Linked DNA regions of Sus scrofa. The protein of the gene in region 1 interacts with the protein of each later gene in a pairwise test. Links are inferred from orthologs where the notes say so. Each region holds a gene or a part of one and is shown on either strand. Other genes may lie near its edges. The genes, in order: PSMC5, RORA, RORC, THRB, NR1I3, VDR and TNNT1.

Region 1 (4,233 bases):
CTGCTTGTCCAGTCCACCAATCATCTCGTAAGTTGAATCTGGCACTTTCTCCACCATCATCAGTGACACCAGTGGATCTACCTTGTTGGGCAGGATCTTGTGCAAAGTGTAGCTATCATTTCTGAGAGCCACCCGGCAGTTGGGTGTCACCTGGGCGAGAGAAGAGAGTTTTAGGATGGGGCATGGTGAGAGCTGACCCCCCAACTCCCAACCTCACCTGCTGCACTCACATCATTGATGTCGATGTTCTTGTCCACGTCTACGACAAACTTGCCCTCGGGATGCACCTACAGAAACACAGGCTTGTGTGCTTCCCTGACAGCCATGAGCCTCACCCAGAGAGACCCCCGAGTCTCACAATAGCACGACAGGAGAACCTTCACGACACACGTAGGTATGGGAATGCCACGACCAAAGGGCTGCTCCCGGGGCTCATGCTGCCTTTACCTTAACCAACACTTTTTTCTTGTCCATGGCCCGGACTACTTCCCCCACATAGGAGCCCTGTTCTTGCAGTAGCTGTAGCTCCTCTCGCAACAGGCGAACTAGATGGGAAACAGACATAGTGGTCACCCAGATTCTTTGATGTCTCCCCCCACGACTTGATTCAGGATTCAGCATGCATGAACTAAGTGCCGTTTTGAAGTTTTGAAAGGAAGGTTTCAAAAAGAAAGTCAAAACAGGTCCTACTGCATAGCACAAGGAACTATGTTCAACACCCTGTAATAAACCGTAACAAAAAGAATGTGAAAAAGAACATATATGTGTGTAATTGCAACACTACCGCACAGCAGAAGTAACACTGTGAATCAACTAGAATAAGACTTTTTTTTTACAAGTCGAAATTCATATCTTTAAAGGAGGTTACAAGGGAGCTTGAGAGATGTGCACGTGAACAACTATGAGAAAGCGACAGGCACCCGTGTGAGGACCTCACACTGCCTGCGTGCAGCCTTCCCATCCTTCCCCCTCACCTTTTGCATTAAGCTCATTCCTCTGTGCTTGCAGCCTGCGGAGATTCTGGCTCTTGTCATTCACAATCAGCTGTGGAGGACAAGAGGCAAAGGGCAGACAGTGGTAGGAGGTTATGACCCTCACAGGCTGATGGGAGCAGAGTGAGGAAAGAGCACTGGGCACCCGCATGTTATTTCAGATTCTCTAATGTGATCCAAGAGTTCCTCAGGAGTGTAGGACAACCACAGGGAAAAAGCTTCTTGTCTAACACTGGTCCAGGAATAGCAAACCCTAATGGAGAAGAGGCAACAGCTGGCTTACACTGTGTCTTGCAGGGCAGTAACATGGTAGAGAGAGAAGATAACTTTGAGTCAGAAGCCTAAGTTCTAGCCCCACTGCTGGCTGTTAATAGCTGAGTAAAGCTAATGAAAACCACTTAAAAGGTCTAGATCTCTCACCAAACTGCAAGTGGTGCACCTACTGGCCTCTTTTCGGGGTTAATTTGAGGAACAAATGAAAGCAGCACAGGTAAAGCATTTCAAAAATGACCACCCAAATATGAAACCTGCAAATGTACCTGGAAGTGAGAATTTTTCCTTGTGGCTCTCCATCTAATTTGCAATATTTTCCTCATTTCTATGATCTGGCTCCCTCTTTAGGCTGTAATACTGGGTTGCTAGTTCCTTTTCATTTGGCCCCCTGGAACCAGCATTGTTCAGACTCCTCAATTTTGTCTTCCCTCACTCTCACTCTGCCCCAACCCCTCTCTAATAAATCCCATCTTCTGAACCTACATCTTCCCTTTTATAAGAAACTACCATTCAGGCTTCCTCTGAAAGGAATGATTTTTGGCCGGGGCTAACTTTTATGTGAAAATTTGACTCCTGAAAATATGTAACAAACTGTGAATATTAATGATCTTCAAAAGGGTGGGACTTGAGGAAGAAACTGTTAACTTGATATAATTCATACCCTTGGCTTCTTGCTTCTTCCACTGCGCCCCAGTGGAATCATACGGCTTTCTAGAAATCGGCTCCATCGATCCTTCACCGAAGCCCTTCCAGCTCCCTCAGGACCTCTTACCTGGAGTTCTTCAATCTTGGACAGATAATACTGGCGGAGTCCACTGCCTGCCTTCCCCTCTTCCAGCTCCATCTGAAGACAGTTTAATTATTAAACAACAGGTTAAACACCCAAGGGATAAAGCTACTTCCAGCTTGGACTTCAGAGACTAAGACTTGGGTTCTAATCCCTCACTCCATCTCTTCAAAACCCTTCGTGTCCCAGTGACAGAAGAGGGGAAACAGAAAGAGGGGAAAAAAAGTCCACCCCTTAAGACTTTCAGGAGGAGCAAGAGAGAACACACAAGGCAACGGCATACAAACCCGAAGGGTCATTACTACAGGAGGAGCCAGCAAGAAGGACGGGTTCCCTGACTCGGGCGACTCGCTCACTCATCCCGCTTCCACCGGGTCTTCCATTCCCGGCCCTGCCCTGACCCGCCGGGGGAGGCGCTGACACAGCAGATCCGTTCCCAGGCAGGGCCCGGTCCGGATTGGTCCATCCACACCTGATTGCCTCAACGCTCTTGCCCCAGACGGCTGCCCACCTCGGATCACACCTGCTCCGCATCCAGCCCTGATCCCCGTCTGGCCGCGGCAGCCGCCGCCATACCTGCTCAGGCCCGTCAAGCGCCATCTTCCCTCTTCCGCGGAGGCCCCCGGCATCAGAGCCGCTTTGGTGCGCAGGCGCGGAAGCGGGGCTTGGGGGACCGAACTCCCGGGCAGAGAACAGTTCCGGGTCAATGGGCGGGGTGTGCGCCCAAACAAAGCAAATAACAGGGGCCCTGAAGCGGCGGGGCCACGCGAGGTCAGGAGCTTTGGAAGGGGATAAAGAGGACGCAGAGCTCCTAAATGTTATTCCGAAGAAACTAGGTTTTGGTTAAAGTAATATTACTTCCGGGTGCAAACATCTAGTTTATAAACCTGGACACAGAGCTTAAAGAAAAATTTGTGGCCACGCTCAAAATGGCGGAAAACTTGGATCCGCGGACGCAGCCGACGCACACGGAAGCGGAAATACGTTTGCTGCTTACACGTGCCGCTGCTGGGGTAGTGAAAACGGAGCTGGGTGGTGTTAGGAGCGGAGTGCGGAGTGTCTTTGAGAAGACGAGTGGGGAGCGGAGAGCGTAATCTAGTATTCTGGGCGGAGACGTCCTGATTTCTGCTTTCTCTCCAGATTGAGTGGCACTCCCCAGTTCCACTATGGGCAAGAAGGGCAAAGTAGGGAAGAGCCGGCGGGACAAGTTCTATCACCTGGCGAAAGAGACCGGTGAGTCATGGTTTACGCAGTCTGAGAGCAAGAGAGCCACCGATCTTTGCCTGTTCGCCTCCTTCCCGAACATTGGGTTTCTCTTCCACAGAAGAGGTGGTGGGTTGTGAGGCCACCGTAATCCCGCTGGGAAAGCGCTTTCGCGGACTTTATTCTTTTTTCATTGTTTCTAGGTTACCGTTCCCGCTCTGCTTTCAAGTTGATCCAGCTGAATCGCCGCTTTCAATTTCTGCAGAAAGCCCGAGCCTTGCTAGACCTGTGCGCTGCACCAGGTGGATGGTGCGTAATATCTGGCACCTGTTGCTTCTTGTGGCAGCTTTCTGCATTCCCGCCATGGATGACTGAGTTTAACTGTGGGCAGGAGAGATACAGGACTAACAATCTGAAATTTTTCTACTTCCGAAACAAATTTCAGGGAAAAATATTTGGAAGTTATGTATGAGATATGTTTGGCCACTGCAGTCGGCAGGGGCTCCTAATACTGGGGATGAGAGCCAGAGACGGCGGGAAAGGGACAAGCCAGGGTAATTATTTCAGTGTTTACTTCTTTTTTATAGGCTGCAGGTGGCTGCCAAGTTTATGCCTGTCTCCAGCCTTATTGTGGGTGAGTGACAGTTCTTTTAAGCGTTTCGGGGATGGCGAGTGTGACATGCTGTGTTCGGCATTCCCTTCCTCCTGTTTAAGGCAACCTTTGGGAACACTCCACCCTGATTTCTTCCAGGTGTGGACTTGGTTCCAATCAAGCCTCTTCCCAATGTGGTGACTCTCCAGGAGGATATCACAACAGAACGTTGTAGGCAGGTAATGGAGATTTCTCTTTTCTCTCTCTCTTTTTTTTTTTTTTTTTTTTTTGGCTGCATCTGCGGCATATGGAAGTTCTCAGGCCAGGGATCAGATCCAAGCCTACCCTGATCCTCTGAAGGCATGCTTTTCCTGTTTACCATGCCT
Region 2 (3,500 bases), on another chromosome or scaffold:
CTTTGATGCTACTCTTAGCTCCTCAAACTATCCTCCACGTGCAAAAGGGACAGAAAATTAGAGTCCTGTTACATCCTTTTCAGATAAATTCTTCTTTAGTTTTGGGTTTGGGACAAATCTTAGTAACAGTTAATTTTATTCATCCTGGAAAATGCCATAATACATGTGAAAAATCCCTAATTGAAGAGAACATGTAGAATAGATGTGGGCACAGGGCCCCACACCCTCCAGGAGTTGACAGGTTTGCTGGGAAAGGAGAAGCTGAGCCATTTCTGGCTCCACTCAGGAATCAGCACACATTCAGCCCAAGTGCCATGTTCAAGGGCCACACTTAGGTCAAGCAGTGTGGGTTTATTTTGGGTTGAACATATGACAAGCAAACAGGCAGATTCACTAGTAGTTATGATAAAGTAGAAGCAAGCCTAAAGTGAGCCAGGTCATTTTTCACAAGTGCCTGTCAACTTTCAATCATATCCTTATTCATTTCTGAAAATTTTACTTTCATTACAGCCCTGCTTAAGGCTTAGCCAACCAAGATTTCACGACCAAAACGGAAGGTTTTTGTTCTAGTTCAAGAAAAAAAAAAAAAAAAAATCAAACCCACCTCTGCTCAGCTTGGCTTCTAGTTCAGAGGTTTCTCTGTTAATCAAAAGAGCTGTGATACACCTTTAATGCTGTTCAGTGGTTAAAGACCAGGCTTAAAATGTCCCTGCTCTTGAGGATTTAAATTTAGACCCATAAAGAGGTGCTTGTGTAAAAACCGTAAAGAACATTCAATTTGTTCTATTTGGAGAAAGATTTTACTGGAAATATAAATTTCACTTAAAAATGTTTTATGGGGTACAGAGGTGGAGAAACCATCTAAAGAACACAACTGTTCTCTCTGTGAACTAAGAGTGTCTGTGCTCAAGTCAGAACCTGCTGGTTCTTTTCCATCTGAAGTCTCCATTCTCTCCTCGTCTTAACTTAGTCATCTTCACAGCAACTAATTGAAATATCCCAAAGGAGTATAACCTTGTATGAGGAATCATGGGGAGGAGCAGATCAAATTCTCAAACAGCCAAGGTCCTTATCAAAGTTTCTCTAATAATAGTGCTGCACTTAAAAATCGATTAAATATAACAGAGGATGTTAACACAACTTCCTTGAAATGAAAAGTTTTCCATTGTCTGTGTTAACATTTCTAGGTCACATCTCCAGAGAAGCACCAATGTCACAGGAATAAGGAAATGACAGGGTTGTTGGGTTTTGTTTTGTTTTGTTTTGGGGGGCAAGGTGGATCTTCCATGACATACATCTGTTTCATCATTAATATACATCACGAAAACATTTTGGCAAATAAGCCAACTTTCCTTGAAAGTTTAGGGAACACATCAGAGTTGAAAAACGTAGATGCTAACAGGGCCTGAGGAGTGATCTAAATGGGGACAGCGGGATGGGTTCATTTAAAAGGTTAGGACCTAACTGGTACCAGCTGGTTGCTGCCATTCACAAATACTGCTCCAGTGTAACCAGATCATTCTTCTTTCCTCCCACAAGAAACGGAACATCTGAACTTTCTGGTGGAGGCGTCCAGGTTTAAAACTTTAGCAACCAATTTAAAAATTGTAAAGCTCTGTACTTTAGCAACCAGTTCAAAAATTGTAAAGCTCAGAGAAATATGTCTTTGGACCAGCTTGAGTCTGTGGGTTGCCATTCCATGACTTTTGGTATATAAAGCAATACCTAGAATATAACTTAAAGAGGTGAAGTTAATGGGGCCATTCCCTGAGCTTAGACATTTTTTGGTGGAATTTAAAGATGGCTTTAAGTTCATCTTGTCCCAGCTTTGACGCTGAGAGGTCAATGAACTTCTTGGATATACAATGGGAAACAGCGGACAGGCAAAGAGCAAGGGGCCAGGCTGGAATTACGAAGTGGTCCAAAAGGTAAAGCTGAATTGTCCTGCTAGATGCATCATTTTATGGTATTTATTTATTTTTTTAGATACTTTTCTATTTCATTTTATTTTATTTTTTGCTTTTTAGGGCCACACCCACTGCATATGGAGGTTTCCAGGCTAGGGGTTGAATCAGAGCTACAGCTACTGGCCTACACCACAGCCACAGCAACGATGGATCCAAGCCATGTCTGCGACCTACACCACAACTCACGGCAACACCAGATCCTTAACCCACTGAGCAAGGCCAGGGATCAAACCTGCAACCTCATGGTTCCTAGTCAGATTCATTTCTGCTGCACCACGACAGGAACTCCTAGATGCATTATTTTAATAACATAACTCCTTAGCGGAAAGTCAAACATATCCCATTTACTCTGATGGGCACAAGGAATATATCCCAATGGAAACATGGAAGCCGTTACCTAATTCTGCCATGGACACAGTTGGGGAAGTCTCTCCATTGGTGAAAGAGCAGTAGGGAAAGAAGCCTGATGCTGGTGTGTAGTCACATATTGGTTCTGGTTTGATTCCATTGATATCAAGACCTGACTGGTCCGGGGAAGGCTGTATGTCCAGGTAGAAGCTGCTGACGGCAGAGTCTGCCTTGCTGCCCTCAGGGGTGTGGCCGTCAATGTAGTTGCTGAGGTCATCGTGAAGTTCCGTCAGCCCATTGGCCGAGATGTTGTAGGTGGGAGTCAGCGGCTCAGCCTCTCCAGGCTGCTGTTGGTGGTCGCGCTGCTGCTGCTGCATTCGGTGTTTCTGTACTTCTGCATACAAGCTGTCTCTCTGCTTTTTCGACATGCGGCCAAACTTTACAGCTGGAAGAAAAAAGCCACACCACACCATATACAATACGCTTTTCTCCATTCTCCTCTCTGCCATGCTTTAGGAGTTCCTTTGAAATCTCAGACACTCTCAATCCAAAACCAAAGGGCCGCAAAACAAGGACACGGTCCAGGGGTGAAAACAGTCCTGCCCCACACAGGCTCATGCCACATCCCAAACAGCAAAGACACAGCCCAGAGAGGCTATTTCAGAAACAGACCCAAGGCTGATAGACGAAACCCAGAGCAATGACCAGGGTCTTGGTGCTGTCACATGACCCTGCGCTCAGTGGGAGCCACTGAAATGAGACTTAATGGGCTCATTCCCCCTCTACCTAGGCAGCTGGCCTAGACCACCTCCTCTGTCTCTTCACGGTGTTCAGATCAGTGCACAGGGATGCAGAGACTCATGGAGGTACAATGAGTCACAAGCAGTCAAACCTCATCTTGCATTAATTTCACTAATCCGTACAGTGGCATGAGTTTCTTTCTGATCGAACAACCAAATCTGGGGCCTCCTTGAAAAAGTTTAACTGACTGGATGAAGTGTTTGCAGTTCTCTGAGTTACATCTCTGAGTCTCCCCCACCCCACTCCTGGGCCATGCCTCAGGTCTGTGTGAAACCCTTGGACCCCTCTTTAAGGATGATTTTTGGTATACTTGTTTAGCCCCAAGTGAAAAGAATATCAGAATTTTGGAAAGGGCAGACACTGGAAGATCCCTGCTGGGAGAAT
Region 3 (4,228 bases), on another chromosome or scaffold:
GGCTCCCTGAGCCCCTGAGGTCACCCTGCCTCCCCCATCTGCCCCTGCTCTGGCCCAGCGGTCTGCCCCACCCCCTTGCGTCTCCTGGGCGCCCTTTCATTGTTCTCTCCTTGATTCTTTGCGATGTTCCCTCTCACTCTTCTTTTTTTTTTTTCCCTACGCCAGAGCCACAGCAAAGCCAGATCCGAGCCACATCTGCGACCTACACCATAGCTCACGGCAATGCCGGATCCTTAACCCACTGAGCAAGGCCAGGGATGGAACCCGCAACCTCATGGTTCCTAGTCGGATTCGTTAACCACTGTGCCACAACGGGAACGCCTCCCCCGCACTCTTCAGGCTTCCTGTCTCCCTCTGTTGCCTGGATCTTGAGGTTTCTTCAGCCCTCCCTCTCCCTTCCTCATCTCAGCCATCTCCGCCTAGCAAGGCGCAAGCCATTCATCCGCACGGGCTGGCTGGAGCCCTTGCTGAATTCTTTGTCCTCTCCCCAGACCCCAGCACCAGCTCTTATCCCAATCCTCTACTCACAGGTGTGGGTCTTCTTTGCAGCCAGCAGCTCTATAAGGAGAAAAGGGGGGGGGGTCAGGGTCAAAAGCCGAGGACCATAGTGGACTCCCCAGTGCCCAGGCCCCCACCCCACCTCATTCCTTCCCAGCAGAACGGCATCTGAGGAGAAGGTGGGACCACCCTCCACTGCACCCTCTCTTCACTCTCGGCCCTATGGTCACCCAAGGACTCTTCCAGGTCCTCAAAAGTGCAGGCTCCTCACCACTCTGGGGCTTCTCTACACTATTCCTCCTGCCCGGAATGTCCCTCCCTGGCCCCTCGTCCATCTAGCCAACTTCTCATCCTCCAGCGTCCCGATCATGTCTTTTCCTTGGAGAAGGTAAGCATGCCCTTCTCCCTTGTCCTTGCATTTACTCAGCATCAGGCATTTGATTTCCTGGCACTCACCACATCATCTCACCGCTATAGCTGTGTCACTACCTGTGAAACGGGGCTTTCCTGTGAGACAGTAAGCCCCATGGAGGCAGGGACTGTGCCTGCCTCGTTCACATTGTTATTCTGTAGTGCCCGCCCCATTACAGGTGCACAGTATTCTGCAGCCAGAGTTAAATCTCTTGGTTGCTTATTTGTGCCTGAAGGCACCTGGGAATTTCAGAGGTGTGGGGGTGGAGAATAGGCTAGTGAGGCTATTAAGAGGAAGAGGGAGAGCTTCAAGCACGGACTCCGTTTGGCCTTCCACAGGCTCTGGCTCCACTGGTCCATGAGCTTGCAGAGGAAGGAATCCCTTCCTGTTGGTGTGTGTGGCTGGTCCAGGTGGAGAGCAGGCAGTGCTGAGCTAGGTGAGTTGATCTGGGGTGGGCAGGGAGGCATAGCCCGCCAGAGGGAAAGCCTTAGCTAGAGTATCATTGCAGGGGGCGGGGCGGTGTCATTCATTCATATGGTGAGCTTTTATTAAACACCTACCAAGACCCTGGGAAGAAGCCTCCCCAGGGCCAGACCTTGGTGCATTTCCCACATCCATACAGCAGCTCCTCACAGAGCACAGGGCTAGTCTTTCCTTTCAGAAAACGCTGCAGGCCTGCCTTATGCCCCAAGTTTCTCTAACTTCTGACTCTGCTCTCCGGTTATTTTTTTCCTTCCGTTTGTCCAATCCTTGACACCTCCCCCCTCTGCCCCCGACCCCGCACTGTCCCTCTGCCCAAGAGATGCTCCCTCTAACAAGCTTCCTCCACTGGGCTGAGTGGGGGTGATTGGACTTGAAGGCCCAGGCTCCGCTGGGGTAGGGTGGGGGGAGGTGCCCAGGGAGGGAGTGGCTCCATCCGGCCCCTCCCGCCTCCCCCCACCCCGCTGATCCTGCCTGGCCCCACCCAGCTTCCTCCCTGACGTGGCACTGTCTCTCTGGCCTCCAGCCTTGCACCTCAGAGCAGTCCTGGGGTGGGAGCGCTCCCCTCTTGGCCCCGGCAGTGGAGTTCTTCCTCCGCCAGGTGGCCCTGGAGCGTTTCCCCTCAGTGCTCACACCTGACCGAGCTTGTGGCCATGGGAGAGGCTGTTAGACCATCCGTGGGGCCAAGGTCCGCCCGAGTCTCTGTCCGCCGCTGCCCCTGGCCAGGTGCCCCACATTCTTTGCAGAAATGAAACCCCACACCGGGGAGGAAAGTGCTGGGCCCGTGGGTTACGGGCAGCAGACAGGGTGCTATTGCTTTCTCCCCCACCCTCTGTCATCCTTAAAGGCAGGGCAGCTTCCTCCATTGCTGGATGAACAGAAGGTGGATGGCCAGCCTCCCAGCCACTGCTGCCCAGAGCGGGTCCCAGCCAAAGGAGCAGTGCCCGCTCCTCCTCCCAGGGGGCGCTCACACTTGGCAGGGCCTGGCCCTGTGCGGCGCTTCCTTCTTCCAGCTTCCCGACTTGGCTCTCCTCCCCCATCCCACCTGTCCCTTCCCTCCTTGCTTCTCCCTTTCTTTCCCCTCCGTGTGCTTCCGGCTTCTCCCGCTTCGCGTTTCTCCTCCTCCGGTCTCTCCTTCCGTTTCTATGGAGACCTGTCCTGTCTCACCGTCCCGCCTTCGCCGGCCAACCCCTCTCTCCTTCTCTCTCCTCTTGCTCCTCCCCACCTCCTCACTTCCCAACCAGTCTCTTCCCACCTCTCCCTGTCCCCTGAACTTCCTGGCAGCCCCTGCCACCTGCCTGCAGGGCCGTAGGGCCTCTTACCCCTCGAGGCTCGGTGGTGTCTCTGTGGGGCCCTGTCCATGGGGCAACTCCCTGGGTGCCGTCCTTGCTGCCCTGGCTGCCCAGGAGGGCAGGGAGCAGGGCCCAGGGGAGGGAAGGGGGGAGGGACAGAGCACCTGGCCCGGCAGCAGGCAGGGGAAAGGAGTGGCTGGCAGAGTGTTTTGGCATCAGAAAGGGACAAGAGGAGACACCGGAAGAACAAAGTTTAAGCCTTGGGGAGAAACAGGGTAGGTGACGGGAAGGGTGCTCACATTTATCGATGGACGTGTGCTGTGTATAAATCTATGATTTTCTCCGATCCTCCCAGCATCCGCCACGAGGCAAACATAGTTGCTCCAGATAACTAGGTGATGCTCCTAAGTGAAGTGATGGTCAAAGATTGTCCCGACTTGCCCAAGCATTTGCATAAGGACCATAAGTGGCTGAGCTGTGCATTGAACACAGGTCTTGCTGACTTTAGAATCATATGCTTTCTACTTGACCAAGACAGGTGATAAGATCAGGGGAGTTGGGGAGGGGAGAGATGAAGATAGGATGGTTTATCTGGGGGATGGGGTCTCTTCTCCAGGATGAGGTCAGAGTCATCCCAGTGGTTTCTGGGTTCCTTGAGGCCTCTGCCGGCTTAGCCTCTGCCATTTGCTGCCCTTCTCTAGAATTCCCTGGCTCCCTGATGCCTCCATATCCTCCCAGTCTTTTGGGGTCGGGGGCAGGCCTGGAGTTGTTTTTGGGGGCACAGGAGCCATGGGAGACGTGCTACACTGCACTAGGTACAGGAAGGAGACCTCCCCGCACCCCGATCCCCCATCACTGAGCAGGGCTCTTCAGGGCAGGGGGCACAGGATGAGGCTTCTGTGAGTCCTGGATGCTTCTATTCTCCTGCCCAGCCTCGGCCCAGAGTTTGATTAGCTGGGCCTGGCTCTCCTGGTTACCCAACAGGCCGGCTGGCCGGGGGCCAGGCTGCAGTGGGGAGGCTCCCTGGCACCTCCTCCTGCTCTCACTCCCAGCTGGTAAACAGCAGAGCAGGAGCCAGCCACGCCTCAGCCTCGTGACGGCAGCCCACTCCCCCCAACCTTGTGCACGTGGCACCTGGCGTGGAGAGGGCAGGCAGCTGTCCCTTTCCTCGCCTGCCCTCCCATCTCACCATCCTCCACTCTTACCCCATCCTGGAACTTCACACGGAGCACCTCCAGCACCTCCATTCCTGGGTAGCTCCCAGACTCTCCCAAGGGCTGTAGCTTATGAGACAGAGGTAGAGAAGGACTCTCCACCTCCTAGGATGGTTGACAAAGGGGTAGGGAGTGGGGAAGAGTGGACGGAAACTCGTGGGGATCTTCTTGTACGGAGAGAGAGTCTGAGGGCATGTGTCTGTGCCTCTGAGCCTCTGATTAGCCCCGTGTCCTTTTGGTAAATGGGTGGCCCACGCATCTGTGTACCTTTCTCTGCACAGAACAGGATGTTGGTCTGTTTGGGGGCTCAGCCCCTTGGGCAGGCTTGGAGT
Region 4 (3,500 bases), on another chromosome or scaffold:
ACAGGACTTAATGAGTAAAAGAAAACAACTTCAAACCTCTCTTTTGAACATGAATTGTCTATGTAGGTTAAACGTAGACTCTGAGATCCCATTAGCTACTGGCACAATTGGGAAAAGTCATGTACGCGCGTGCACACGTGGACACACACACACAGACACACATGCACACACTTCAAAGCAAGTAGTTATGTAACGATAGCAATGTCTGTTTCTACTCAGGTTTGAATACAGAATTAAAGCCCAACGAACAACTCTCCGGCTAATTAGAGAAATAAAAAATGTCTTCTCCCCAAGGGCACCAATCCAACTTGCAAAAGAAGTGAACTGCTTTCCTTTGGAACCTGCCTATTTATTTACATTTCAAAGAGGATCTGGGGATAAAGAAACTTTGGAAGAGCAGCCCGGGAAAGCACAGAGACAGCATCCATGGAATGAGTGGAGACCCAGAACACACTGCCAAGAGCAAGTGATTTACCTGGCTGCAACACTGGATACAGCTTAATAACAAGACCTGGTTACCTTTACATTTCTTCTCTTCCGTTTGGAAGGTCTGGGCACCGGGGACACTCTGATCATTCACATCGTCGTGGTCCAGATGGAGAATCGAGCTGGTCCAGGTGGCCTGGATGAGGTGCGGTGACGACTGTTCATTTTTCAACGTGCTGCGCCTCTCAGGGTAGGTCTTCCTCTGCAGGCAGGCGTCAGACATCCCCACTAGCTTCCAGTCCTGCTCGCCGTCTGGACAATGCTTCGGCTTGTCCCAGGCTGGAAGGCCATTTTCTGGAGGGTTGAAAAACACGAGATGACACGCTGTTGGCATTATCAAGACTGGGATGAGACGAAGAGTTGCGGCAAGCAGGTTGTTTCTCGATTTGGGGAGGGGGCGCTGACAGCGTGCACGTACCCCTCCTCGGACAGCAGGGACAAGATGCAGAGTGTGTCAGCCTGGGGCACGGAGCCACCGTTGCTGGATGGCCTGTTGGAGAGATCAATACCTCCCCCCTGATGTTCGGTGCCTAAAAAGGCATCGGCTTCTCCATGGGGAGGCTGCACTTTCACCAGGCCCGCTCCCAGAGACAATGGCCCGGGAGCAAGTTTACATCAACTGATGTTACTGCTTAGATGACCATTTGAGGTCTCGAGGGTCAGGGCTGGCCATGAACACTTTTCAGATCCTTAGGACATAAAACGTCCAGGATTCGGCCTGGTTTGACTTGGGTGTTATCACGGGCTGACCTGAGAGGCACTCTGTTCCGTAAGTGGGACATGCCACGTGGCGGCAAGAGTGACAACTCTGTTCTCCTTGTCACCTTCCTCTCCTGACAACCTAACTCAGAGGGCTGGATCTTCCACGAGAAGTGAGAAATTCTGTTGATGGTTTCAACGTCATCCCAAATAGATCAGAGAGTGGTGGGTGGTGGGGTGAACTAATAGCTCTAACGATGGAACGGAAAAACCCCAGGTCTCTTTGGTGGATGCACTGACAGTTAAAAAAAAAAAAAAGAATGGATAAGTAATGGAGTCCTACTGTACAGCACACAGAACTACATCCAATCATGCACAATGACTTATGCATGTTACCTTGTTTTCTCTATTCAACTTATAGGGACTTTCAGCTCTGCTCTCTAGAAAATGGGAAAAACTATAAAAATATAATGCAAATCTTCTCGTACTAACCTTCCCTGGTGGTAAATTTACCTCCTTGAATATCTTTATGGAACGAGGATATAAAGTAGAGAGTAAAATGGAGCAAGCTTATATATATATATATATATATACTATATATTATACTATATAGTACAATACACATTATATATACTATATATAGTATAATACATAGATGCATTTAGAGTAAAAAACATAATCCATCTGGTCATCCATAGTTTTAGAAAGTTTTAGGCTACTGTCTGTCAAAGTGAAAAAAATATAGCATGAATAGAGTTCTACATTTAAAGTGATTCTAGGCAGTGATTAAAACGCTATGTACTTCGTAAGTGAATTTTCTTGTATGCTGAAATGGCCAAAGAACTGTAAATATCCACAGTGGAGATTCAAGTCCATCCTGCTCTGTGCAGAGTACTGGGAGTTTAAAGCTGCTTTGCAAACATTTAAAATAAATTTTAAATTAATTAATGCAAGGGTTAAACATGCTTTAGGTTTTCATAAGCCCCCTCTGGAAGCTGCCAGGCATCTTTAGGGATGTTGGTTAGGGTGGTTTCTCTAAAGGTGTCATGTGCTCTCAGCCCCTTTTGGAAGCTGCATCTGCCTTTCCTGGTCTTGGGGTTACTGTGTAGAAACCCCAAGACCCATACAGTTTCTTTCTAGTACAGGAGAAGACTGTAAACAACTATACATATATAGCAATAATCAATGAGTGTTTTCTCTGTTTCAATAAATGCAAAACTGCAGCTTGAAACACCCAAACTTGGCCAGAAAGCAATGATCGCCTTAAAAAAAAATCATACAGGAGTTCCCTGGTGGCTCAGTGGGTTAAAGATTCAGCCTTGTCACTACTGTGGCTCGGGTTGCTGCTCTGGCCCTGGTTCGACTCCCAGACCTGGAACTTCCACATGCCACTGGCGTGGCCAAAGATAAATAATTAAAAAATCATACAATGCTTTTGGATGGAACATTTGATCTTAATCTGAGAGGAGCCCTGAACATTCACTCTATGCAAAGGGCTGTGCCGAGCGTTGCATGTGAGGTGAGTTAAAAAGACATGGGTTCTTTGTCCTCAGTGTATTTGGCACTGTTCCAATGGTGAATCAAAGAGGTGTGGACCTGACCGTGCCAGCAACTGGTGCCACTAGAGGCACGTATTGTCATTTTCCATGAAAAGAAAACAACAGATTACGATCTTGGAGATTGTGCTCATTTATCCGTGAGGGTTCAAGGTTTTCATGAGCTAAACATGAAGCCATTGAATGCAAGGGTTAACTCTGGGCTCAGAGAATTTCATCCTTTTTCCGCAGATGGGAGAAGCCTTCTTCCTCATGCCCGTTTCTGTGATGTCTGCTCTATTTTCATGGACTCTAAATCATTGGTAAATTGCTCTGTGTAACGCTCCATTTGAAGTAATACTGAAGTTATCACAGTATTTTGTAGAACCTCCAACACTGGATTTTTCTGAGGAAAATTTTTTTCTTTTTTTTAGGGCTGCACCCATGGCATATGGAGGTTCCCACGCTAGGGGTCCAATCAGAGCTACCAGTGCCAGCCTACATCACAGCCACAGCAACGCAGGATCCGAACTGCATCGGCGACCTACACCACAGCTCATGGCAATGCCAGATCCTTAACCCACTGAGAGAGGCCAGGGATCGAACCCACGACCTCATGGTTCCTAGTCAGATTCATTTCCACTGTGCCCTGATGGAAACTTCTGAGGAAATTCTTAAAATTTGATATTCATTCCTCTGCCTGAACAGAAATGAAGAAATACAGCCCAAAGGGGGAGTCACTTGCTCCCCAGTGAAGGGAGCAATGGATGAGATGCTGGA
Region 5 (4,123 bases), on another chromosome or scaffold:
AGGAGTCTGCCTCAGCTGGGGTTCTGGAGAAGTCCTGTCCTCTGATTGGTGCATGGCACGCAGCCCTCTCCCTTAGGTCACAGCCCAGCTGGTATCCTGTAAGTGCTTACCCTGAACTGCACAAACTGATCAAACATAGTGCCCATATGGCGGGTATGGGCCCCCAGGAGTATCTGGACTAACGCCTTCTGCTCCTTACTCAGCTGCAGTGATGCTTGCTGTGCCCGGCGCTGAACCTGTCTTGCTCGCCGCAATGCCAGGACTTCTGCTGATAGGATCACTGTGCCCGGGGAGAGATGTGACAAAGTTATTGAGACCAGCAGAGAGCACCTTTTTCTGTCAGCCCGTAGTCCAGGGCTCTCGGACGCTCTGCACAACGAAGGACACAGGGAGGGAGGAGAGTTCCTGAGGGCTCCTGAGGCCTGCTTGAAGTCCCAGAGCCTCCAGGTGGTAGGGAGCTCCTGTCCACTTTCCCCAACCTGTGAGGCACTGCAGCAGAAAACGGTGCACTGTGGGAGGGAAAGGAAGTGTAGAGAGTAAAGTGTAAGATGTTTGGCTTCTGGGGGAACACTGAAGTGGGAGGGCTCTTGATACCAAAAACATCACCTTATGTTTGCATAAGGTGCACCTTATAATTTCAGAGGTTCTGAGGTTAAATCTCACTGAATGAAACCAGCCTGCCTATGAGTAGAGAAGGCAGGTGTTATTATCCATATTTTTCAGAAATGTAAACAGGCTGACATTTCAGGGACAGGTCCAGAGTCACAGAATACTTATTGATATAGACTGAATTAAAGATGTTTTGACTGCCACGGTTTCCTTTCCACTGCTTCATATTGAAAAGTAATATAGGGAGTTCCCACTGTGACTCAGTGGGTTGCAAACCTGACTGGTAGCCCTGAGGATGCAGGTTCAATCCCTGGCCTCGCTCAGTGGGTTAAGGATCTGGCGTTGCTGTGGCTGTGGTGTAGGCCAGCAGCTGCAGCTCTAATTCAGTCCCAAGCCTGGGAACTTCCATATGCCTCAGGTGTGGCCACAAAAAGCAAAAAAAAAAAAAAAAAAAAAAAAAAGAAAAAAGAAAAAAAAATCAATATAAAAAAAAGAAAAGAAGAAAAATAATGTGATGTTGTGGAGAAAGCAAGGATCTGGTGAATCCTGACTACACCTTTTCAGCTGAGTGGACTTGGGCAAGTTGACTATGGTCACTTGAGTTGATTACAAGTTGCATTATCTTTTGGGGGCAGAGCGTAATTATCTGGCCCAGAGAGGAAACATTAAATAATTCAACAATTATCAAGAACCTACTAAGTGACAGGCACTTGAGAGACAGAAGAGAAAAAGCAAGCCTGATGAATATCTAGTGGAAGAGCACTCCGGGTAGAGGTGACAGTAAGTACAAGTGTAAGTTACAACAGGGCCAAGGAGCGTGTGCTTGGAGTGTCTGAGAGCAGCATTGAAGTCAGTGTAGCTGGGATGCACTGAGCAGGGCGAAGGGTAGGAAGTAAAGTCTGAGAGGTGATTTGGAGGAGCTAGACCATGAGATCATGGACCATAAGAGAGATGAGGAACCCTTGGAGGTTTTGAGCAGAATGGTGATATTGACTTATTTCAAAAAGCTTACTCTGCCCACTGTGTGGAGAAGACACTACAGGAACAAGGGCAAAGCATAGCCAGTGGAGAGACATAGAGGGTCCTTGAGATGGTAAGGGAACAACTCACTGTCTTTCTTCATGCCAGCATCTAGGCACTTCTGCAACCTGCAGGCTGGGCAGTGGCGCCTCTGGGCCTTATTGACCTTACAGCTTCCAGCAAAGGGGCAGATGAGACTGGTGCTTTTGTTGACTGTTCGCCTGTGAGGACAGAGATGTTGTGAGGGTCGGAGATGGCAGCGAGTAAGGTGGGTATGTGAAGGGCTGAAATGACATGGTCTAAAAGAATCGGTGGTGACATGGGCTAATCTGAGCTGTGCCCCAGGGTCCCTAGGAGTGGAGAGGATACGGTGCATCTCAAGCATTTCCACGGGGGGCACAGAGTCATTCAGGAAAGCCTGGCTGATGCTGTACTAGCTGGTGCTTTGTAGAGAGTAAGTACACATGACTAAGGGGTTGCATCCATAGAACCAGCACTTGGCCTTCCCTCTGTTATTTTGCTACCTTTATATACAGTGTTGCGGTTGGCAATGGGTAGCTTGCTAGCCCTAGGGTAGTTAGGCTCCAGGTTGCAGGAGCGAGGCAGCTGGACAAGTTCAGGCAGATGCCAGGGCATGACGGCTGCCTGGCAGGCAGTTTGGGAGGCTGTTTATGTTGGTGAGGAAGTTCTCACCTGAAGAAACCCTTGCAGCCCTCACAAGTCAAGGCATGGAAGTGATAGCCTGTGGCTCGGTCCCCGCACACAGCACAGTTCCTTGGCTCATCTTCCCCGCTGGCCATGGCTTCAGGTGTTGGGATGGTGGTCACAGGCCCCTGAAAGTGATAGGGGTTAGCAGTCAGCTCTGGGCCACCGTTGACCTTCTTCTCCTGCTTCTGCAGATCCTCTTCCCAAACCTGCTCTGGGCCTGACCCCCTGTGTTATCTGCACTTAATTGCTATTAGTCTCTGGGTCCCCAAAGATTTCCTACCTGTTCCTCTTAGGCAGCACGTCACCTGCAGGCCACAGAATCTGGTGCTGGATTCCTCTCCACGTACTCCCACTGTAACCCTGCTTTCCCTTTGATCTCAGGAGCTTCCAGTATTTAAAGTTAGGGATTATAGCCTTTAGTACCTGGAAAACAAGGAACTTCTACCTCTGTGGCCTTCAGCTGTTTTCAGTGAGTGCCTAGATAGGACTCAGACTCTGGACCCAGGGCAAAGGCTTGGGTGGGAGGTGTTCCCAGCATGCCCACAGTGCTGGAGGCTGGCACCTGGGGAGAGAACCTGATAAGCAGGGACCTCATGACTTATTAGAAGCTCTGCTTATCGAACCCTACTGCTGAGCTTCAGGCTAGGTCTGCAGCCTCCTCTGTGCATAGATTCTGGACAAGCTGGGAGGAGAGAGGGTGAGAGAGCTTTTTCACACAGAGTATGTCAACAGTAAAAGAATAGGCATAATAAGTGTACAGACCCCCCAAAGGAAAGTTCTTCAAAAGAGACTGTGGTCTAGGGAATTCCCATAGTGCCTAGCGGTAACAAACCTAACTAGTATCTTTGAGGATGTGGGTTCGACTCCTGGCCTTGCTCAGTGGGTTAAAGATCCTTCGTTGCCATGAGCTGAGGTGTAGGTCCCAGACTCGGCTCAGATCTGGCATTGCTATGGCTGTGGCTGTGGTGTAGGCCGGCAGCTGTAGCTCCTATTTGACCTCTAGCCTGGGAATCTCCATATGCCGCAGGTGTGGCCCTATAAAAACGAGAGAGGGAGACAGAGAGAGAGAGAGAGAGACTGGGATCTAATTAAGGTCTTATGTAAAGAGTTAGAAGAGTATAGCACAGGGAACTATATCTAATCACTTTCAATGGAACATGATGAAGGATAATGTGAAAAAAGAATGTATATAAATGTATAACTGGGTCACTTTGCTGTACAGCAGAAACTGACAGAACATTGTAAATCAACTATAATAAAAATTATTTTAAAAAATAAATAAAATTTGCAATCTCCCCTCCAAAATACTTTTTGTTTGTTTGTTTTGGCTTTTTAGGGCTGCACCTGTGGCATATGGAGGTTCCCAGGCTAGGGGTCCAATCGGAGATACGGCTGCCAGCGTATGCCACAGCCACAGCAACACCAGGCCTGAGCCACATCTTCGACCTACACCACAGCTCACAGCAATGCCAGATCCTTAACCCACTGAGTGAGGCCAGGGATGGAACACACAACCTCATGGTTCCTAGTTGGATTCATTTCTGCTGAGCCATGATGGGAACTCCCCAAAAATAAATTCTAAATGTTTGTAGAGAAAAATAGAAAAGAAAGCATTATTCATCCAGAAAAAAAAAAAAAAAGAGAGAGAGAGAGAGAGAGAAGAGGTTCCACTTTCTAATGAGGGAGGGTTGAGGATTAAATAAGAATGGACCTCTAGGAGTTCCTGTCGTGGCGCAGTGGTTAACGAATCCGACTAGGAACCATGAGGTTGCGGGTTCGGTCCCTG
Region 6 (3,500 bases), on another chromosome or scaffold:
TCTGGGCCAGTGTCCCCAGCCGTGGGGAGGCAGCCTGTCTTACCACAGCTCCTTCCGGGGACAACGTTACCATAGGGATGAGAGGAAGGTGGGCACGGAGGGCTTAGGCATGTGCCCTTTGGGCAGCAGAGATGGATTTGTGACCTTCGTCACCCTGGTTTTGGTCATCCTTGGCAGTGAGTGTCCTGGACAGGCAGAGGGCCAAGGCCCCCTGGTGGCTCGCTGCCTGGGGACGGAACAGCGCAGACTGGCAGCAGGATGAGGTGGGGCTGTGGGTCAGTACGTGCCGTGGATGAGGCGGAAGAAGGAAGATCCCACCAGGCTCTGGACACGGGGGCCTGGAGTGGGGTGGAGGTACGGGTGTCTCTGTCCCTGAGGAAGGGGCTATTTCTCCTGCCTGCCTTTTCCCTCGGCATCACCAGCAGCCGCTTCTGGAGCAGCGGGGGCGTCCCCGGGTCCTCAGCCTCTGCCCTCTGCCCCCACTTGAGTTTCTCTGTCAAATAAACAGCAACTCCTCATAACGGAGGTCTCGTGGGAGTGGGAGCAGCCTGTGGCAGGAGAGAGGATGGGCCAGGCGGGGAGGGGAGGTGGCAGAGGAGGGGCTGAACTCCAGAGGGGGTGGGGAGGGCTGCTGGCCAGACGCCCACCCCAGGCCTGGGCGCAGGGCCCCAGAGAGGCAGCCCCGGCCGGGTGCCACCGCAGGCTGCCCTAGTCAGGAGATCTCGTTGCCAAACACCTCAAGCACAAGGGGTGTGAGCTTCATGCTGCACTCGGGCTGGAAGGAGAGGCAGCGGTACTGCTTGGAGTGCTCCTCGTTCAGGCTACGCAGGTCGGCCAGCTTCTGGATCATCTTGGCGTAGAGCAGGTGGCTGCCCGGGGGCGGGTGGCGGCAGCGGATGTAGGTCTGCAGCGTGTTGGACAGGCGGTCCTGGATGGCCTCGATCAGCGTGGGGTCCTGCACCCCGGGACGGTCTGTGGGCAGAGAGGGTGGGGTGGGGGTGGCACAGGAGATCTGAGCTGGGCCCCTCCCTGTTCGATCCACTCCCCTCATGCCTCAGCCCACATAGATGGACACCTAACCTCCGAATCCATCCATCACTCCTGATGGCTGCTGACCTGCGACACCAGAGTCCTCCCCAACATCTCAACCACTCTCTATTGCCTTTTTTTTTTTTTTTTTTAAATTTTTTTTGCTTTTTCAGGCCATGCCTGAAAGTTCCCAGGCTAGGGGTCAAATCAGAGCTGCAGCTGCTGGCCCGCACCACAGCCTCAGCAACACTGGTTCTACACCACAGCTCACGACAACGCTGGATCCTTAACCCACTGACCGAGGCCAAGGCTCACACCTGCATCCTCATGGACACTATGTCAGGTTCTTAACCCGCTGAGCCACAGTGGGAACTCCTAGGAACTGGCTGTACAATGGCGTGTGTTTGATGTCTCCTCCTACACTTGGTGGGAGAGGTCTGCGTCCTGTTTGCTGCTGAGTCTCTATGCCCAGCACAGTGCCTGGTACCTGACAGGAGCCCAGTAAATCACTGCCGAGGGAACAAATGAATGGATGAGTTGGGGAGGGCTCACTGGGCGGGAGGAGGGTGCCCAGGTCCTTCCCTCGGGCCCCAGCCCAGGAAAGCATCCCTGGATGGCAGCCACTAGTTTGTTCCCCAAACACAGTCCAGGGGGAGGCCTCACCAGTGTCTAGAGTCCCCGGGACCACAAGACCCTCCTCCTCAGCCTGTCTCCCTCTTTCCACCCCAAACAGGCAGAAGAGCTCAAGACTGACGGCATCCCGCCTCCAAAATCAGTCAGCTCAACTGTCCATCAGGCCAGATGTCCAGCCAGCAGAACATCTATTGGGCCCCAGGGTTTTGTGCCCTGACCTCAGGGGACCTCAAGGGTCAGGGAGGTCAGTCCAGTTCACACAGGCCTGTCTGTGGCCTGAGACACTCCATCTAGGAGTTCCCTTTGTGGTGCAGTGGAAATGAATCTGACGAGTAACCATGAGGTTGCGGGTTCGATCCCTGGTCTTGCTTAGGGGCTTAAGGATCCTGTGTTGCTGTGGCTGTGGTGTAGGCCGGCAGCTATAGCTCTGATTCGACCCCTAGCCTGGGAACCTCCATATGCTGAAGGTGTGGCCCTGAAAAGACAAAAGACACACACACACACACACATACACACACACACAGAAAAGAAAGAAAGAGAAAGAAAGAAAGAAAAAAAGAAACTCCATCTATCTGGCTCCTCAAAATCCCTCCCATGAACCAGCAATGGTTTCACTAGGGAAAGGCCAAGGCCAAGGGCAGTGAGGGAACCCTCAACATACACACACCACCCTGGCTGTGCAAACCCAGCAAAAGCCAGGTTTCCCTGTCGTTCTCTCCTTTTGCTCACTCCTCCCTCCAAACTTCCCGCTGGTCTTCAGTGGGGCTTCACCTGCACGCTCCCCACATCCCAGGTCCCACGTCCTCACTGCGAGTACCTGGGGAGACGATGCAGATGGCCATGAGCAGCACGTGCTCCTCCTCGTGCAGGTTCAGCTTCTTCAGCCCCACCTGGAACTTGATGAGGGGCTCGATCAGCTCCAGGCTGTGTCCGGCTGCGAGAGAGGATGGCCAGCTGCTGTGGGCACCCACAGGACGCCCCCCGCACCCCACATCCAGCCTGACATTGCTCCCTCGGATGTGCCTGGTGGGGCCCTGGACCCCAGGAGGGGTGGAGCTGGGGCAGGCGGAGGCAGAGCCCAGACGCACCTTTGGCCACGTCGCTGACTTGGTACTTGTAGTCCCGGCTGCCACAGGTCCAGGACATGTCGTCCATGGTGAAGGACTGGTTGGAGCGCAGCATGATGACCTCGATGGCACTTGACTTCAGCAGCACGATCTGGTCCTCAGCGGTGAGGTCCCTGCCAGGGAGGGGAGAGGTGGAGGTCAGGTTCCTTTACTGGGCAGCACCTTCTCTCTCTCTCTCTCCTTTTGGTTCTTTTTAGGGCTGCACCTGTGGCATATGGAAGTTCCCGGGCTAGGGGTCGGATGGGAGCTGCCGCTGCCAGCCCTCACCACTGCCACAGCAATGCCAGATCCTTAACCCACTGAGCGAGGCCAGGAATCGATCCTGCATCCTTATGGATTCTAGTCAGGTTCTTAACCCACTGAACCACAATGGGACGCCGAGACCTTCAAGTCATGTAAATTAGTGCAGTGTTTTGACAGGTATACACCTGCCAGGTGCCCAGCATGGGCCCAGCTCCTCCACTGAGGAGCTTGCAGCCTGGTTGGAAAGAAGAAGACTTGTTTCTTGAGGGAGAACAACTTGCGAACAACTCAAGACTGTGACCAAATGCCAGCTGGATCAGCTCAGCTACTCAGTGACTTTTTGGGGTGTCCCAGGTCTAAGCAGCCACAGCTCTTCTGGGGTTATGAAGAGAGAGCTTGAGGAAGCTCTCAGGGCCACGGCATGACTAAGGTGGTCTGCAAAACATGGTAGAGGAGTTCCCGTCGTGG
Region 7 (4,133 bases), on another chromosome or scaffold:
GCTGTCTCCTTGTCCCCTGGTGAGAGTTTTACCCTCTGATTCATTTGTAGGAAATGCTAGTGATTAATATCATTCATCTGTGACTTGGATTCTCCTCAATTACTGAGGATTCACCAACACTGGTCTCCAGCTCAGACTCTCTCCCAATCTCCAGACTCCAGGTAACGGATGGCTCCATGCCCCAGCTGAGCTCCCCAACCTGGAAATCTCTCCGTCTGTGGCCCCCTTTCCACCCCCTGCCCCCTGCCCAGGCTTAGGCCTTCTTCCCTGAAAACTCACCAAATTCTACAGTTCTCTGGCCATGCCACATGGCTTCACGCCCCCGGGCCTTTGCACATGCTGTGTGCTCAGCTTGCAATGGCCTTCGCCTGACATTCTCCGCACCTGAGGCCTTCCTGCCTCCAACGAGCTTTCCTGATGCTGCAGCCCAGCTGTGTCCTCACTCCCATCTGACTCTGCCTCCTCATCCCTCAAGCCGTGGTGAAACTCCACTGTCCACTGCATCTCATGCTCAGATTGCAACACCAATCTCTGGCCCCAAGGTCCCCACCTCCAGGTCTCCTCTCCCTCTCCCAAGGAGCTCTCACAGCCTGGCCTCCACCTGTCTGCAGAGCTTGGATCCTCAAAGACTGGCCGAGATCTGGCCGCTGGACCTTGCACCTTCTGCATTGCTTCCTCGACTACAATCTCTCCCACCTCCTTCAATTAGCAAACTCCCAGGACTCAGGGCAGCACCTCCCCCAGGAAGCCCTCCATGACTGCCACCGGGCATAGCTAGGGCCTCTTCTGTGCTACCATCTTTGTATCTGGGTCTGCTTCACCAGCAGGGCAGCCACACTCTGACTCATCAAATACCATGGGAAGTTCACCAGAAATGTTTGCTGAAGGACAGAATCACTGTCCTTTCGTAGGTGTCCCTCCCCCTCTCCTCTGTCTTTTTTTTTTTTTTTTTTTTTTTCTTTTTTGTCTTTTGCCTTTTCTAGGGCTGCTCCTGCGGCCTATGGAGGTTCCCAGGCTAGGGGTCCAATCGGAGCTGTAGCCACCGGCCTACACCACAGCCACAGCAACGCGGGGTCCGAGCCGTGTCTGCGACCTACACCACAGCTCACGGCAATGCCGGATCCTTAACCCACGGAGCAAGGCCAGGGATGGAACCTGCCACCTCATGGTTCCTAGTCGGATTCATTAACCACTGCGCCACGACGGGAACTCCTCCTCCCGTCTTTTTTTGCACCCTGTCTCTGAAGGCAGGGGCTAGATCTAAGAGACCCCACCCCCAGCCCTAGGATCTCACCTTGGCTTGGGGCGCTCCTCTTCTGTTGGGGGGGGGGATACAAAGACACAATTAGCAAGAGTTTGTGGGCGTGGGAGGACGCGACACACCCAAAGGTGGGCCCTCCTCGCCCCCCCAAGACTTGGTCCCCAGGCCCAGTTCCCTTGTCCTGCAGCCCTGGGGGAGGGGTATGGCGGGGGTAAAAGAGGAGAAGGGAAATCGGGGTGGCCGTAAAGGGAGGGAGGGGTCACACGCATCAGATATACATTCAGAACCGGTGTGGGGATTCCCCCCCTCCACTCGCTTCGCTGGGAAACCAGGCTTCCAAACCCCCCACCCTCCTTCTGCAGACCCAGAGCTCCTGCCCTCCTCCCCAAGCCCTCTGTTCACTCGGGGACCCTGGAGTTGTGTCCCCAGCCACCTCCCCCTTGGGGACACAGGAATCCAGACCCCCACTGCTACCCCCTTCTGCAACCCAGGCCCCAACCTTTGAATGTATATGGGGGAGAAAAATAACAGGCGAAGATGAGAGGGGAGGAGGGGTGCCTCTCCGCAAACATCCAACCCTTCTATAAGTATTCCTCCAGTCTGGGGAAGAAGGCTTGGGTGTCGGTCCCTTTAAGAAGGAAGGGAACGGGTTAAAGCCGCTGCGAGGCTATTTCCCTTCGTGGCCACCAGAGGGCGCGCGGGCTCTCCGGGGCTTAAAGGACCGGGTCCGGGGCGGGTTATGGGGGCGGGGAGGGAGTTCTCGTGGAGGTCAGGGCCCAGAGGACACCCCGCAATTGGTCTCAGGAAGCGAAGCAGCCGCGGTTACCTCGCTCTGCCACCGGCTCTGGCTCCTCGGGGGCTGGGGAGGGGGCAGGAGGAGAAGCGAGGGTTTGGGGAGCCAGGGGAGGGGAGCGGCCAGGCCCGGATGCAGGGGGGGAGAGAGGGGAGAGAGGGGAGAGGCTGTTAAAGGAACTGAGGCCGAGAACCCCGAAAGCCCCGCGCCCCGCCCGGCCTGCACCCCTGGACCAGCGGGCCCCCCACCCACCCGCCTGTCCCCCACCCCCCCAGACCTGCGTCCAGCTCCAGACCTGCGGAGTCCGGGGCCTCACCTTCCTCCTCCTCAGCAGCCTCCTCTTCTGGAAGGGGTCGGGGAGAGAGAAGAGGGGTTAGGGGCCCAGGGGGACCCGGGGTGGAAGGGCTTTCAGAGAGGGGACCCAGTGGGTGAGGGGGCAGAGACCCAGGTTCGGGCTCGAGTCTCAGCTGGGCGGGGCGGGGGGGGGGACCCGTCAGCCTCAGCGGCCGCCGGGCACGATGGGCTTTTCCCTCCCAGGAGGATGGGCGTCGGGCCGGTCGGGCGGGGTGGGCCGAAGTGCACTCACCTTCAGGCTGCTCCCTGAGGACCCGGGCGGGGAGAAAAGAGGGAGGGGGAGAGTTAGGCGCCTCGGAGGCGGAGGGGGTCTCCCCCGCTCCGAGCCCCCAGCCCTCCCGCCAGCATCACTCACTCCTCATATTCCTGCTCTTCGGCGTCAGACATCCTGGCGTGACCTAGAGAGGCAGAGAACGGGGGTCCAAACGAGGGACTCGGGATCCCCGACCTGGGGTCCCGACGCCCGGGTCTGAGGGACGAGGGGCTGGGGGCTGGATCCTGGGTCTGACGGGGGGGGGGGGGGCTGGGGCTGGACCCCTGGGTCTGGAGGAGGAGGGGCTGGGGCAGGACTCCAGGGTCTGAGGGAGGAGGGGCTGGGACCTGGACCCCTGGGTCCAAGGGAGGAGGAGCTGGGGGCTGGATCCTGGGTCTGAGGCCGGGGGCCTGGGGCTGGACCCCCGGGTCTGAGGGAGGAGGAGCTGGGGGCTGGACCCCTGGGTCTGAGGGAGAAGGGGCTGGGGCAGGACCCCTGGGTCTGAGGGAGAAGGGGCTGGGGCAGGACCCCTGGGTCTGAGGGAGAAGGGGCTGGGACAGGACCCCTGGGTCTGGGGGAGGAGGAGCTGGGGGCCCTCAACTCCCAAAGATTCCTAAACCGCGGATGAAGACAGGGCTTGGGAAGGTATGGCCCCACCAACCCCAAAGCCACAGGCCCCACCCCCTCACCACAGCTGCCCTCTTTTGTCTTATGACAAGTCCTTTGGAACCTGATCTGAGGAGGGATTAGGGGAAGGTATTTGGGGAAGACACAGTGGCCTGAAGACAATAGCTGCCCCACCCCCAAGGGCTATTTTGGGGGGATGTCGTGGAGGGTGACACAGAGGACATCTAAAAAGTATTCTAGGAGGAGGGGTTCTGGGAGAATTCATCATACCCACTCCCCTCTGCCACCCTTGTCCCCTCCCCTTTGGCTGGTTATCAGTCACCTTCACCCACAGCTGTGGAGGGGACAGGACACACAAGAGCAGCTTCTGTCCCCAGACCTCATCCTGACCCCTAAATACTAAGACTCCCCCAAATCTGAGGTCCCCAAATCTTAATACCCACAGATCCCAATTTAGGAATTCTGAAGATGGCTAAGTCCTCATATCTCCGGATTCTGACACCCCAACTGTTGATACTCCAGATTATGGGCCTGGCCACCCTAAAACCTTGACCCCCTCAGTCTTGAATCCTTAAATTTGGGAACCTTAAGCTTATGAGACCCCAAAACCTGGATGCCCAGACTCAGGGGCCCGATTCCTGATACCCCAAAATATGACTCCACAAATTCTAATACCTCCAATCATAAGATTTCAGATCCTGAGACCTCAATTCCTAAACCTCCAGATTCTGAGGCACTGCCCGCACCCTGGTCCTGACACCCAGACTGTCTGCCAGCCGAGCCCAGAGGTTCCCAATTTCTTTTCTTACTCCTTCTTGAATTATTATTTAATTTTATTGGAATAG

What was found.
Region 2: the proteins of PSMC5 (region 1) and RORA interact in a two-hybrid assay, tested with the Homo sapiens proteins (3 studies listed by BioGRID and IntAct). The link is inferred for Sus scrofa from reciprocal best matches to the Homo sapiens genes PSMC5 and RORA.
Region 3: the proteins of PSMC5 (region 1) and RORC interact in binary tests that used the Homo sapiens proteins (3 or more experiments, as listed by UniProt). The link is inferred for Sus scrofa from reciprocal best matches to the Homo sapiens genes PSMC5 and RORC.
Region 4: the proteins of PSMC5 (region 1) and THRB interact in a two-hybrid assay, tested with the Homo sapiens proteins (3 studies listed by BioGRID). The link is inferred for Sus scrofa from reciprocal best matches to the Homo sapiens genes PSMC5 and THRB.
Region 5: the proteins of PSMC5 (region 1) and NR1I3 interact in a two-hybrid assay, tested with the Homo sapiens proteins (2 studies listed by BioGRID). The link is inferred for Sus scrofa from reciprocal best matches to the Homo sapiens genes PSMC5 and NR1I3.
Region 6: the proteins of PSMC5 (region 1) and VDR interact in a two-hybrid assay, tested with the Homo sapiens proteins (2 studies listed by BioGRID). The link is inferred for Sus scrofa from reciprocal best matches to the Homo sapiens genes PSMC5 and VDR.
Region 7: the proteins of PSMC5 (region 1) and TNNT1 interact in a two-hybrid assay, tested with the Homo sapiens proteins (2 studies listed by BioGRID and IntAct). The two-hybrid records come from large-scale screens. The link is inferred for Sus scrofa from reciprocal best matches to the Homo sapiens genes PSMC5 and TNNT1.

What each region holds. Positions count from the first base shown.
Region 1 is NC_010454.4:15,103,527-15,107,759, forward strand, and holds the start of PSMC5 (26S protease regulatory subunit 8), read right to left. Parts: upstream 2,801-4,233; 5' UTR 2,653-2,800; coding exon 2,629-2,652; exon of another isoform or gene 2,352-2,628; coding exon of another isoform or gene 2,340-2,351; exon of another isoform or gene 2,116-2,339; intron 2,110-2,115; coding exon 2,038-2,109; intron 1,246-2,037; exon of another isoform or gene 1,144-1,245; coding exon of another isoform or gene 1,045-1,143; coding exon 975-1,044; intron 546-974; coding exon 448-545; intron 288-447; coding exon 231-287; intron 151-230; coding exon 1-150. Other genes in the region: pre-rRNA processing protein FTSJ3, read left to right, coding at 3,219-3,285, 3,459-3,564, 3,843-3,889, 4,007-4,086.
Region 2 is NC_010443.5:111,457,004-111,460,503, reverse strand, and holds part of RORA (nuclear receptor ROR-alpha), read right to left. Parts: intron 2,761-3,500; coding exon 2,365-2,760; intron 1-2,364. UniProt on the Homo sapiens protein: Nuclear receptor that binds DNA as a monomer to ROR response elements (RORE) containing a single core motif half-site 5'-AGGTCA-3' preceded by a short A-T-rich sequence.
Region 3 is NC_010446.5:97,373,673-97,377,900, reverse strand, and holds the start of RORC (nuclear receptor ROR-gamma), read right to left. Parts: upstream 2,801-4,228; 5' UTR 2,753-2,800; coding exon 2,689-2,752; intron 1,347-2,688; exon of another isoform or gene 559-1,346; coding exon 529-558; intron 1-528. UniProt on the Homo sapiens protein: Nuclear receptor that binds DNA as a monomer to ROR response elements (RORE) containing a single core motif half-site 5'-AGGTCA-3' preceded by a short A-T-rich sequence.
Region 4 is NC_010455.5:10,994,418-10,997,917, forward strand, and holds part of THRB (thyroid hormone receptor beta), read right to left. Parts: intron 781-3,500; coding exon 520-780; intron 1-519.
Region 5 is NC_010446.5:89,225,412-89,229,534, reverse strand, and holds the start of NR1I3 (nuclear receptor subfamily 1 group I member 3), read right to left. Parts: upstream 2,801-4,123; 5' UTR 2,618-2,800; intron 2,463-2,617; 5' UTR 2,430-2,462; coding exon 2,323-2,429; intron 1,851-2,322; coding exon 1,720-1,850; intron 281-1,719; coding exon 111-280; intron 1-110. UniProt on the Homo sapiens protein: Binds and transactivates the retinoic acid response elements that control expression of the retinoic acid receptor beta 2 and alcohol dehydrogenase 3 genes.
Region 6 is NC_010447.5:78,207,478-78,210,977, forward strand, and holds part of VDR (vitamin D3 receptor), read right to left. Parts: intron 2,903-3,500; coding exon 2,751-2,902; coding exon of another isoform or gene 2,597-2,750; coding exon 2,480-2,596; intron 973-2,479; coding exon 713-972; 3' UTR 1-712.
Region 7 is NC_010448.4:59,360,811-59,364,943, forward strand, and holds the start of TNNT1 (troponin T, slow skeletal muscle), read right to left. Parts: upstream 2,801-4,133; 5' UTR 2,796-2,800; coding exon 2,764-2,795; intron 2,655-2,763; coding exon 2,641-2,654; intron 2,398-2,640; coding exon 2,371-2,397; coding exon of another isoform or gene 2,326-2,370; exon of another isoform or gene 2,121-2,325; coding exon 2,088-2,120; exon of another isoform or gene 1,531-2,087; coding exon of another isoform or gene 1,317-1,530; coding exon 1,295-1,316; intron 1-1,294. UniProt on the Homo sapiens protein: Troponin T is the tropomyosin-binding subunit of troponin, the thin filament regulatory complex which confers calcium-sensitivity to striated muscle actomyosin ATPase activity.